Linked DNA regions of Caenorhabditis elegans. The protein of the gene in region 2 interacts with the protein of the main gene of each other region in a pairwise test. Each region holds a gene or a part of one and is shown on either strand. Other genes may lie near its edges. The genes, in order: hat-1 and nhr-37.

Region 1 (4,597 bases), on a different chromosome or scaffold from region 2:
CCATGAATTTTCGCAATTTTTAAAATTTTCTCCGAAAAAAATTATCAAATATTCAATTTTAATCTATTTTTACAGATATTGTTGGAAAATTATGAATTTTTTCATAGTTTTTCAAGAGAAGTCGCCTAAAAAGCTGAAATTGAGCAAGTTTTCGAGATTTTTCACAAAAAACTCACCAAATTCGGCTTCGTGTACTCGTTGACATTTATGTGTAACGGAGAGAGTGTTTGACTGGTTGGAACACCGACAGACGTCGATGCGACAAATGATGACTTTAGTTGAGCTTCTGACGCTGCAGCGGCGGCCTGAAAATTGAGAAATTGAGAAAAACAATAGGAAAATCGATTAAAATGTGCATTCATACATGTTTTTAATAAGTTTTTTTTACAAAATCGTTTTTAAAAATCTATTTAATGGAAAAATTAGTTTCAAAACATGTTTCTAATATATTTTTTCGACTAAATTAAATTAAAATCATGTTTTGATACATTTTATCGAGAAATTAGGTTAAAATCATTTTTAAAATTCTTTTTTTTTGACAAAATTGGTTGGAAATCATGTTTTTAGATTTTTTGGACAAAATTAGATTAAAACCTTTTTTAATCCATTTTTTCAACAAAACTAACTTAAAATTTAATTTTTATTTTATTTCTCCACAAAATCAGTTAGAAATCCAGTTTCTAGGGTTAAAAAACGCCAATTTTTTACCTCAATCTCTCGTTCATCGTCATTTGTATCACGTTGCTCAACAAATTGCGATAATCCTCCTCCATTTGAAGAAGAAGACGACGCATCGAACAATGAACGATCATGTTCCATACCAGGGAACGAGTGATGTGAGGCAGGAATTGTGCCACCTATTATCACCATACAATCCGATGGGATACTTCTGCTGATGTTGCTCGTATTTGAAAACGTTGTTGGTCCGAGGTTTTCCTTCAATTCTGATATGGATTAGAGGACATTTCACATGGAAAATCCGTGAAATTTCAGAAATTTTCAGTGGAATTTAATTTACCTGTTCTTGTCGAACGCTCATGCATTATTTGATGGTCTTCCCATCAACTTGTTGCTTGGAATCTTCTGAAAATTCGATTTTTTAAAAATGATTTTTGACAATTTTGAGCGGATTTGTGAGAGAAAATTCGATTGAAAAAAAATATTTTTACATTAAAACCGTTGAAAAAACCAATTCTTTTTGATATTTTTCAAAAAATTCCAATGAAATTTGGTTGTTTTCAACAAAAATATAACGGAAAAATGGTAAAATAGCAAAACTTTTATATAAATAGGAAAAATTTATAAATTTTGCGATGAAAAATCTCACAACGAGTTTTAAAAAACTTAATTTCTGATTTTAACAAAGTTTTAATTGAACAAAACAACAAAAATTCTCGAAAATCCGCCGAACTATGGAAATTAACTCTTTTTTATCTAATTATCGTGAGAAAACCGCGAAACCCGGGCAATTAGAGCAAAATAATGCGGTTTTGCGCCATTTTTCACAATAAAAATGAGACATTTTACGGGGAAAACGCTTGAAATTCGATATTTTTGTTTGTTTATAATTTTTATGATGCAACTAAACTTCACGAATCAACTTGATCAATCAATTTATCCGTTTTGGGATGAAAATTCCGGGAGATAAGCGAAAAATTTCTGAAAAATCGATAAAAATTCACCCGGAGGCGTGAAAAACAGCACGGATCCATCAGAAGATCCCTGGCAACGTGCCAACTCGCACGGCGTATTTCGAAAAAAGCGCGACGAGAGAGTGTGTGGCCGTGAGAGACGCGCGACACTCAGACAGTCGGAGAGAACGCCATCTCTTATGAGAGGTTGCGAAAGTCAACGGGTCTCGCCGCGAAGAGACACTTTTGTGTCGATTTACGAAGTGAGAAAGCCCGCGGGAAACTTTTTTAAATTTTATTCTTTTATTTTCGTCGGAATTCCTTCATTTTTTCTCATTTTCCACGCAAAATCGGTAAATAAATTGATTAAATATCGTCTTGTTTCGCGATTTTCAAGGTTCAATGGCGTTTTCAACTCTTTAACAGTTTCAGCATGGTTATGGAGGACGTCACGAATGTCAATCGCAATCGGAGATACATTTCCGACGGACTTGCTGTCGTTAAAATGACATTTTGTAAGAGTTTAACCGAATTTTCGCTTGAAAGTTCCCATTTTTCAGTAAAAAACATGCAAGAAATCAGTACTGCGCCACGCTACGAACCAGAGATGGTCTATCAGCATTTCGGAGATGAGGAGACAATCTTCGGCTACGAAGATCTCGAGGTTACCATCCATCACACAGCTCAAACCCTCTACAGCTACATAAACGTGAGCTATTCCTCAAAAGCGAAAAACGAAAACGGACTGGAGGCCGATGACGTCATTGATAAGCTGGTTCATCCAGACGTTCGTCCGAATGTTCTGGTTTCGGGAAAAGAAGAATTCCAGCAGAAGCTCATCAAACAGAAGGATTTCAAGCCTTTCGGTGAGATGGTACACAAGTTTGAGCTGAAAGGAAAGAGCTACGAGGTCTACAAAGTCGCCGAGCAAACCGAAGAGTTCAACCTTTTCCTAGAAAGAATCCAGACTCTCGGCATGTTGTGAGTGCTTAAAAAATAAGGATTTTCCTACAAAATTTTTTTTTCAGCTTCATCGAGTGCTGCTCACTGACAGATAACACTGAAGACAATTGGCTTCACTATTTTATGTAAGTTGAGAAGATTTCGCGGCGAATTCCAGAAATTACAAAAAATCGAACGCATTTCAAATATTTTTCAATTTTCCAGCTACGAACGCTGCGACACCGGTGAAGGAGATGGAAGTACTGTGGCCAACGTGGCTGGCTACGCGACACTCTTCAAATTCTACAACTACATTGACAGGATCCGTCCACGAATTGCACAGATGCTATTGCTCCCTCAATACAGAAAATCTGGAATTGGAGCCAGTTTCATGGAATCTTTCCTGCGAGATCTTCGTGCCTCTCCAGAAGTTTTCGACGTAACCGTCGAGTCTCCCGGAGATCAGTTCGTCAGCCTCCGTGACTATGTGGATTGTGTCAACTGCATGACACTGCGGGAATTTGCACCGGAGAATCTCAAGAGGGGATACTCGGACAAAATGCGTCAGGCCGCACTGGAAAAGCTCAAGATTTCCAGACAACAAGCCCGTCGAGTCTATGAAATTTTGCGTTATCGTGCTACAAATAAGAAGGATAAAGAAGAGCTGAAAGCGCAGAGAATCGATGTGAAACGTCGGTTGTATGCACCAATGAAGAAATCGGATCAGGACTGGAAGCGTCTGAATCTCGCGTTGACACCCGATGAGCTTCGACAAGCGGCCTGTGGACAAATGGATGAGGAAACCAAGTTCTCGACGCTCTCACAGAATTATGATCGGCTTATGGAGGCCTATCAAAAAACTATTGATCGAATTGAGCAGCATCCAAGCATTTTTTAATCGTTGTATCTGTATCTTATTTTAATTTGAAATTACATGTGGGATTTTTGTATTTTTTTTAAAGCTAATTACCACGAAATTCGTCTAAATTTGCTGTAAATTTGCAAAATTCCCTTGCCGTTATTACCCATACGCGAAATTTTGCGCCAAAAGTACGGTATCCGGTCTCGAAGAGAAAAATGTATGATAAATGCGAAAAAGTGTGCGCCTTTAACGATTTTTATCAGGTTTTCATAGTTTTTCCCAGCATTTGTTAAAGTTTTTTTGGGTTTTGATTGTGATCTACGAAAAATCGACGAAAATCCGCAATAGCAAAAGTTTGAAGCTACAGTACTCTTTAAAGGCGCACAAATTTTCGCGTTTAACAAACATGTTTCGTTGCGAGACCAGGCACCGTATTTTTGGCGTGAAAATCGCTTTGGGTCCTATTTGACTTATTGTGAATGTTTCATGAATTTTTCCGCTCTCTAAACTCTCAGCTAAAAATCGAATTCCCAGTTGAAAATCCCGAATATATTTTTATCTTCTTATATATTATTCTTCAATTACAAAAAAAAAACTCACCGAAATAAATGATCTCTCACTCTATCCCAGCAGAATGGACGAATTCTCATTTCCATTTCAACCATACGACATTCAACTCAATTTGATGCGAGAAATCCGCCAATGCATTGAACAACGGAAAATTGGCATTTTCGAATCTCCAACAGGCACCGGAAAGTCGCTCAGCGTGTTGTGCTCGACGATGACGTGGCTGGAAGCTGAAGAACTACGAATTTCGACTGATTTGAGCACACGGCTCGGGGAGGTTCACACGAAAATCACGGAATGCGATAAAATCACCACCGCCGACAATTGGGAGACGGCAGTTCGTGAGAAAATGCGAGCTCAAGACGTAGAGACGGAGATTTTGGAGCAAATTCAGAGTCGGGAAAGGTGTTGGAAATTGAATAATTATTCTTTTTTAATTTTTTTTTAAATGAAAAAAATCATTCAGATTGCAGTCACGAATCGATCAAGCCCGGCGAGGAATGGTCGAGGTCTCCAGAAAGAGAAAAGCCCCGGCCAGGGATACGGATCAGTTTCTCGAACCTCAAGATGTAATAATTGAACTTTTATCCGGAAA
Region 2 (5,153 bases):
GAAAAAACTGTTTTTGGTGATTGAAAATTATAACTTTTTCTGTAAAAAGATGCGCCGGGATTAGTTTAATGAACGGTGGTGCTTTATTTTCTTTTCTAAAAATTATTCCTGCCGGTTGACATTTGAATTTCAAAATCGTTAGAAAATCGTAATCATTAAAATAATTGAAAAAAAAAGTATTTTTGTTTCAGAATAACAACCCGACTTACAAACGCAACTTATTGAGTCTCAAAAACCTGGTTCTGGTGAAATTCAATCAAGATCATATGGTTGTACCAAAGGATTCATCTGTGAGTGGTTTTTTTTGTTTTGCAGTTTCCGAAAGTAGACTATAGTCGCCTATAGGCGAGGGTCGCCAAAAGCTTGTTAATGCAGGCCGGAGTTTTCCCGAGTATTCTCATTCTAATGGGTACAAAGAGCCACACAGGCAACAGACATTTTGTACCACCTGTCACGGTTCTCACGCTGAAATATTTTATAAAGTCTCAATAATTTATTCCAGTGGTTCGGGTTCTACAAAGACGGTGATATTGACACAATTCTCCCAATGAACGAAACCGACCTGTACAAAGAGGATCGTATTGGATTGAAGAAGCTTCATGAGAGTGGACGAATCCATTTTATGGACGTGGATGGAGATCACTTGCAAATTCCAAGAAGTGTGCTTGTCAACGATATTATCAAAAAATATTTTATGTGAACTTGTTTGATTTTCAAAAAGAAACAACTCGTATTGTAAAACTCGTACGTAAAAATGAATTATGAAATTATCATGACTGGTTGTGTGAGCATTTTCTTGATTTGGGTTCCCATCATTTTCTAAAACATCTCGAAAAAATACGGCTCCGAGATTTCGGCATGAAAGATGTCAAAAAGCCAGAAGAGCTCCTTGATCTTTGATTTCTCACGAGAGATTCTCTAAAAATAGGGGGAAAATCAGAAAACTTAAAAAAAAATTTGGCAAACCTTCATGGATTTGACCAGTTTCATAAGAATCAGAAGCCGATGAGAATACATTTTGATATCCGTCCGATTTGTATAATAAACGTGCATTTGGTCAGCAATTTCTGCTCGCATTTGTTCGCAAGCTTCTCGTGTTTCATGAGAAAGATCACCTTCTAAAATTAAAGTTAATAAAAATTTGATTGATGTTTTTTTTTTTTACCTTCAAGTCCAATAAGGTGAACCATACAAAAAACGACTTCTTCCGTAGTTGGCTTGAGATCAAGAAGTGGCCTTGCAACTTCATCTATGTAACGGTGTAGGAAGGGTTCGAATAGTCTGAAAATTACAAAAATACAAATATAAAAATGTTCAAAGATTTTTCATCATTATATCTTTCTCGACATAGCGGCAAAAATTGTTTTGTTGAATTTTCAGTATTTCAATTAATTTTATAGTAAAGAAAATGCTGTATCAAAATGTGATCCTAAAACCAACGCAACTTTGAGTAGGCTTTTCAGAACATTGACAAATTTCAATCAGCGAATTGTGGGCATTTCAAAGTTTTTGAAACAGAAAACTCACTTGTTGAAATATTGATTCGTGAGATCAGTTATCGAGGCAAAGTCAATATGAGTTGATTCCAATTTCATTGCGAGATCATCATTGATAAGTATATACTGAAAAACAGTTGATATTTTTAAAAATAATTAAAAACTATTCTCACTCCTCCTCGAATGACTCCTTCTTCAAAAATCTTGACAGACATTTCTAGGCGCTCAAATGTTCTAACGACATTCCAAGAAGATCGGAAGAGCTGCATTTTTTGATCCATGGGTAGAGACATTAAAGATTTTGAAGAGGAAAACCAACAAGAGTACATATAGATTCGATCATTGAGCCAATCAATAGCAGATTTCAGCTCGACTTTGTCAAGAAAAGAGATTTGACTTTGAGCTTTTTGATTTTTCCTAAACTTTTTCAATGCAGACGTCAAAGTAGTCAGTTCACAATCGTCGCCTTTTGTTTTATGCTGAACATAAAATAACAAAATTTTCACTTTCAATGTTTTTCGCTTCAACTTACCGAAAATGACGTTTCAATTTTCTTCACCAAGTCATTAAAACTGATAACCATGTTCGGCTTATCCGGTGTTTTTGGCGAGAAGGTGAACAAAAAGTTCGGATCAATTCCAGGTGACTCCACCGAGTTCTTCCGGCTCAAGTTGGTCGGGCTGTAATCAGATTGAGCTGGGCTTCCATTTGGCGTAGAGAATTCGTCCTGAAATGTAGTAAATAAAATAATTGTTTTTAATTTAAAAAACAAAACTCACACTTCCACTATCCTCCATCAAACCGCGAAACGAGTACGTTGGGTCATAGTCCAATTGAACTTCTGAAAAATGAGTATATTTTACTAGAAAAAGAAGAGAAAAAAAGAAGAGAAAAATAATTGGACTCTGTAAAATTTGCAGAAAAAAACGCTTTTGGTTAAATTCCAAAAGAATGGCAGCAAAATTTTTGACAGTAATTGAAATTTTATTTGTGTTTTGGAAAGGATTTAGTTATTTCACCACTAGCAAAAATGAGTGGTGATTTTTAGCAATTTTCAAAATTCAACATTATGTAAAAAAAGGAAATAGGGCACTTTTGTATTTAATGCCCTCATTTTGAAATTATTTAAGCTATAAAAAAAACCTTTGGAATATTTTTGTAATTTTCGGACTTCGGAAAAAATCCTTTCTAAGCCTAAAGAGTAAAAATCAAACATAGAGATGATCTAGAAATTTTGTTAGGATTTTTTATTTTTCAGAAAAAATTATTTTTCTGCGTATTCCACAAAACCTATTCACATGAAGTTTTTGAAAATTTGTCAAACCAATTTTCGCAACAATTTTTCACAAAAACTTTTGATGTAAAATTTTTTGATGTGCACGATATGCACTTGAAAATCTTGCAAGTTTTTATTTTTTTGGAAAAAAAAACATACTCTCTTCATTCATCCCGATTGCTTTGCACTTTGTCAGACGACACTGCCGGCAGACATATCTATAAACAAAACGTGAATTTTCTGATTTTGAAGACTATAGTAACTCACCTTCCACGACCATCAATATTGCATTTTGAATTCCCCTGCTTACATTTATACTGTAATTTCAGTACAGTAGCCCTTCGAAAGAATGCGGCGCACGCTCGGCAGGTGAGTGCACCGAAATGCATTCCATTTGAAGCTTTTTTGCAAACCAAGCATGACTTGTCAGGTACCATTTTTAGATTCTGAGAAGGAAAAAAAGTGTGATCATCATTTTGTAATATGCAAATTGGGTGTTGTCATTCTAAGAGATCTCTACCAGATATGTTATTAGAGAAATGAAAAACGTAGAGAGGAGAGGAAAAGATCAAGTGACCACCGAAAAGGGTTTATATTTGAGAAAAAAAAAGAGGGAAACTTGAAGGAAAAATGAACGTACCTACATGTCAAATTTTGAGACTGAAAACCCAGCCTCAAATCACAAAGTTATCACAGCAATTTTTTGGTACTTTTCTTCACATGTAAGGCAAGATCAGAAGAGAGACATTTTCGGCTGGGGGAAGACGTCATGTCGGCATGTTCTCTGATCGTTACGCTGGTCGAAGACGTAGGAATCTCAGACAAACAATTAAAATCTCACCCCCTTCCGAAAAGAGATAGTCTAGTTGTAGTGGAAGGAAAAGCATAATGACAATTATCAGGATGAAGTGGTGAATTTGGCTAACCGTATTTTCAGAAAACTTTAGCTGGAGTTGTATGAAACGTTTTAAAAATGTGCCTAGGGATACTATAGATACTGAAAGTTCTTAAAATAGAAAACTCAGAAATTTCATATTCGATCTGATGATAAAAGATTTTGAATTTACTTTCCACTTGAAAAGACCACCTCAAAAATTTGTTTCAAAATGTTTTTATGTTCGATGAACCAAAAAGGAAAAAAGTCAGAAAAAAAAGATTTTCGGAATGTGAGAATTTTGGGTTTTCTTGAATTTTATAGGAAAACAATCCCCTTCTGATTACTGCTACATACATTGTACAATTTTTTTAAAAGTGCACACATTGGTACATGATTTGTGATAGAAAATTTTAAGTCAAAATTGTAACTTCGATGGAATTGCGGAAAATCAGAAACAAAAACATTTTAGAATTGCTAGATTGATAGTGACCGATTTAGAATTTTGGATAAAATACGTTGAGCTACTTTATATAGAGGCAACCGATCTTGTCCATCTAATTCGAAACATGTATGTCTTTTGTCGTTTCTATGTTCACATCTGTCTGCGTCTCTTCATAAATTGTCAATCTCTAGCTGTCAATTGCTACTCGGTCTACGAGCATCGATTCACACGCGACCTGTGTTCGCCGAATTGGACTTCCGCAAAACTTTCAAAAGACTAATGTCATCTGATTAGTCTGCGTCTCCGATAGACTGTCATCTGCAGGTAGCCGTCCACCATCCTTGCATCTTCATTGCCAGCCTCGAACCTTTGCCAAACGCTGCAAACTTTTGACAGATCCCGCCTCCCGACCCGCAAGATGATTCGTTAATGCGTTTGGGCCCGATGTCTTATCGTCGCCCTCTACAACACTTGACTCATGAAATAGGACATGGAGACCAGAAAAAGAGAAAAATATTGTGTCTGTTGACGGGGAAAGTTGTTCATTTTTAGGGCATATAACTGTATATATGTTTCAAAAGTTCCTGATCTAGACTGATTCAATTGGGAACAATCATTTTTCTATTCATTTAGATCAGTTGATAGACATCAGATATGTTTTCTCCGATTTTCTTACCCGATGAGTAATAAATTTGCCAAATATGTAGTTCGCATATTTTCCGAGATATCATGATATTTTGTCAATTTGCAAAAGTAGCATCAAAGTAACAACTAGTACAACAATGTTATTCATATAAATTCAATTCACCGCTTTATTAAGTATGCATGTCAAGGAAAACTATTCCCTCAAGTTAAAAAAAAATAAATACAAATAAGTTTAGTCCTATAGTACATAAACTGAAGACTAATTTCAAGTTAACAAGTCTACCATATTTTCCCTACTGGATTTGTACCCCAATTGCTTTACTTTGACGGCTCATATCTCGGTTGTACTAAAATTAATCACAAATATACTGTTAGTGAAATACAGAAGATTATTTAGCACGTATTTTGTCAGTTTAC

The links.
Region 1: the proteins of nhr-37 (region 2) and hat-1 interact in a two-hybrid assay, tested with the Caenorhabditis elegans proteins (one large-scale study listed by BioGRID).

What each region holds. Positions count from the first base shown.
Region 1 is NC_003281.10:10,404,709-10,409,305, reverse strand, and holds hat-1 (Histone acetyltransferase type B catalytic subunit), read left to right. Parts: upstream 1-2,057; 5' UTR 2,058-2,064; coding exon 2,065-2,146; intron 2,147-2,191; coding exon 2,192-2,612; intron 2,613-2,659; coding exon 2,660-2,719; intron 2,720-2,798; coding exon 2,799-3,471; 3' UTR 3,472-4,058; downstream 4,059-4,597. Other genes in the region: M03C11.3 (PH domain-containing protein), read right to left, coding at 177-305, 709-944, 1,019-1,043; ATP-dependent DNA helicase chl-1, read left to right, coding at 4,070-4,407, 4,469-4,571.
Region 2 is NC_003283.11:6,620,324-6,625,476, reverse strand, and holds nhr-37 (Nuclear Hormone Receptor family), read right to left. Parts: upstream 3,284-5,153; 5' UTR 3,210-3,283; coding exon 3,040-3,209; intron 2,991-3,039; coding exon 2,932-2,990; intron 2,338-2,931; coding exon 2,276-2,337; intron 2,224-2,275; coding exon 2,029-2,223; exon of another isoform or gene 2,022-2,028; intron 1,976-2,021; coding exon 1,670-1,975; intron 1,623-1,669; coding exon 1,528-1,622; intron 1,282-1,527; coding exon 1,166-1,281; intron 1,119-1,165; coding exon 967-1,118; intron 919-966; coding exon 820-918; 3' UTR 701-819; downstream 1-700. Other genes in the region: ppt-1 (Palmitoyl-protein thioesterase 1), read left to right, coding at 192-290, 503-700.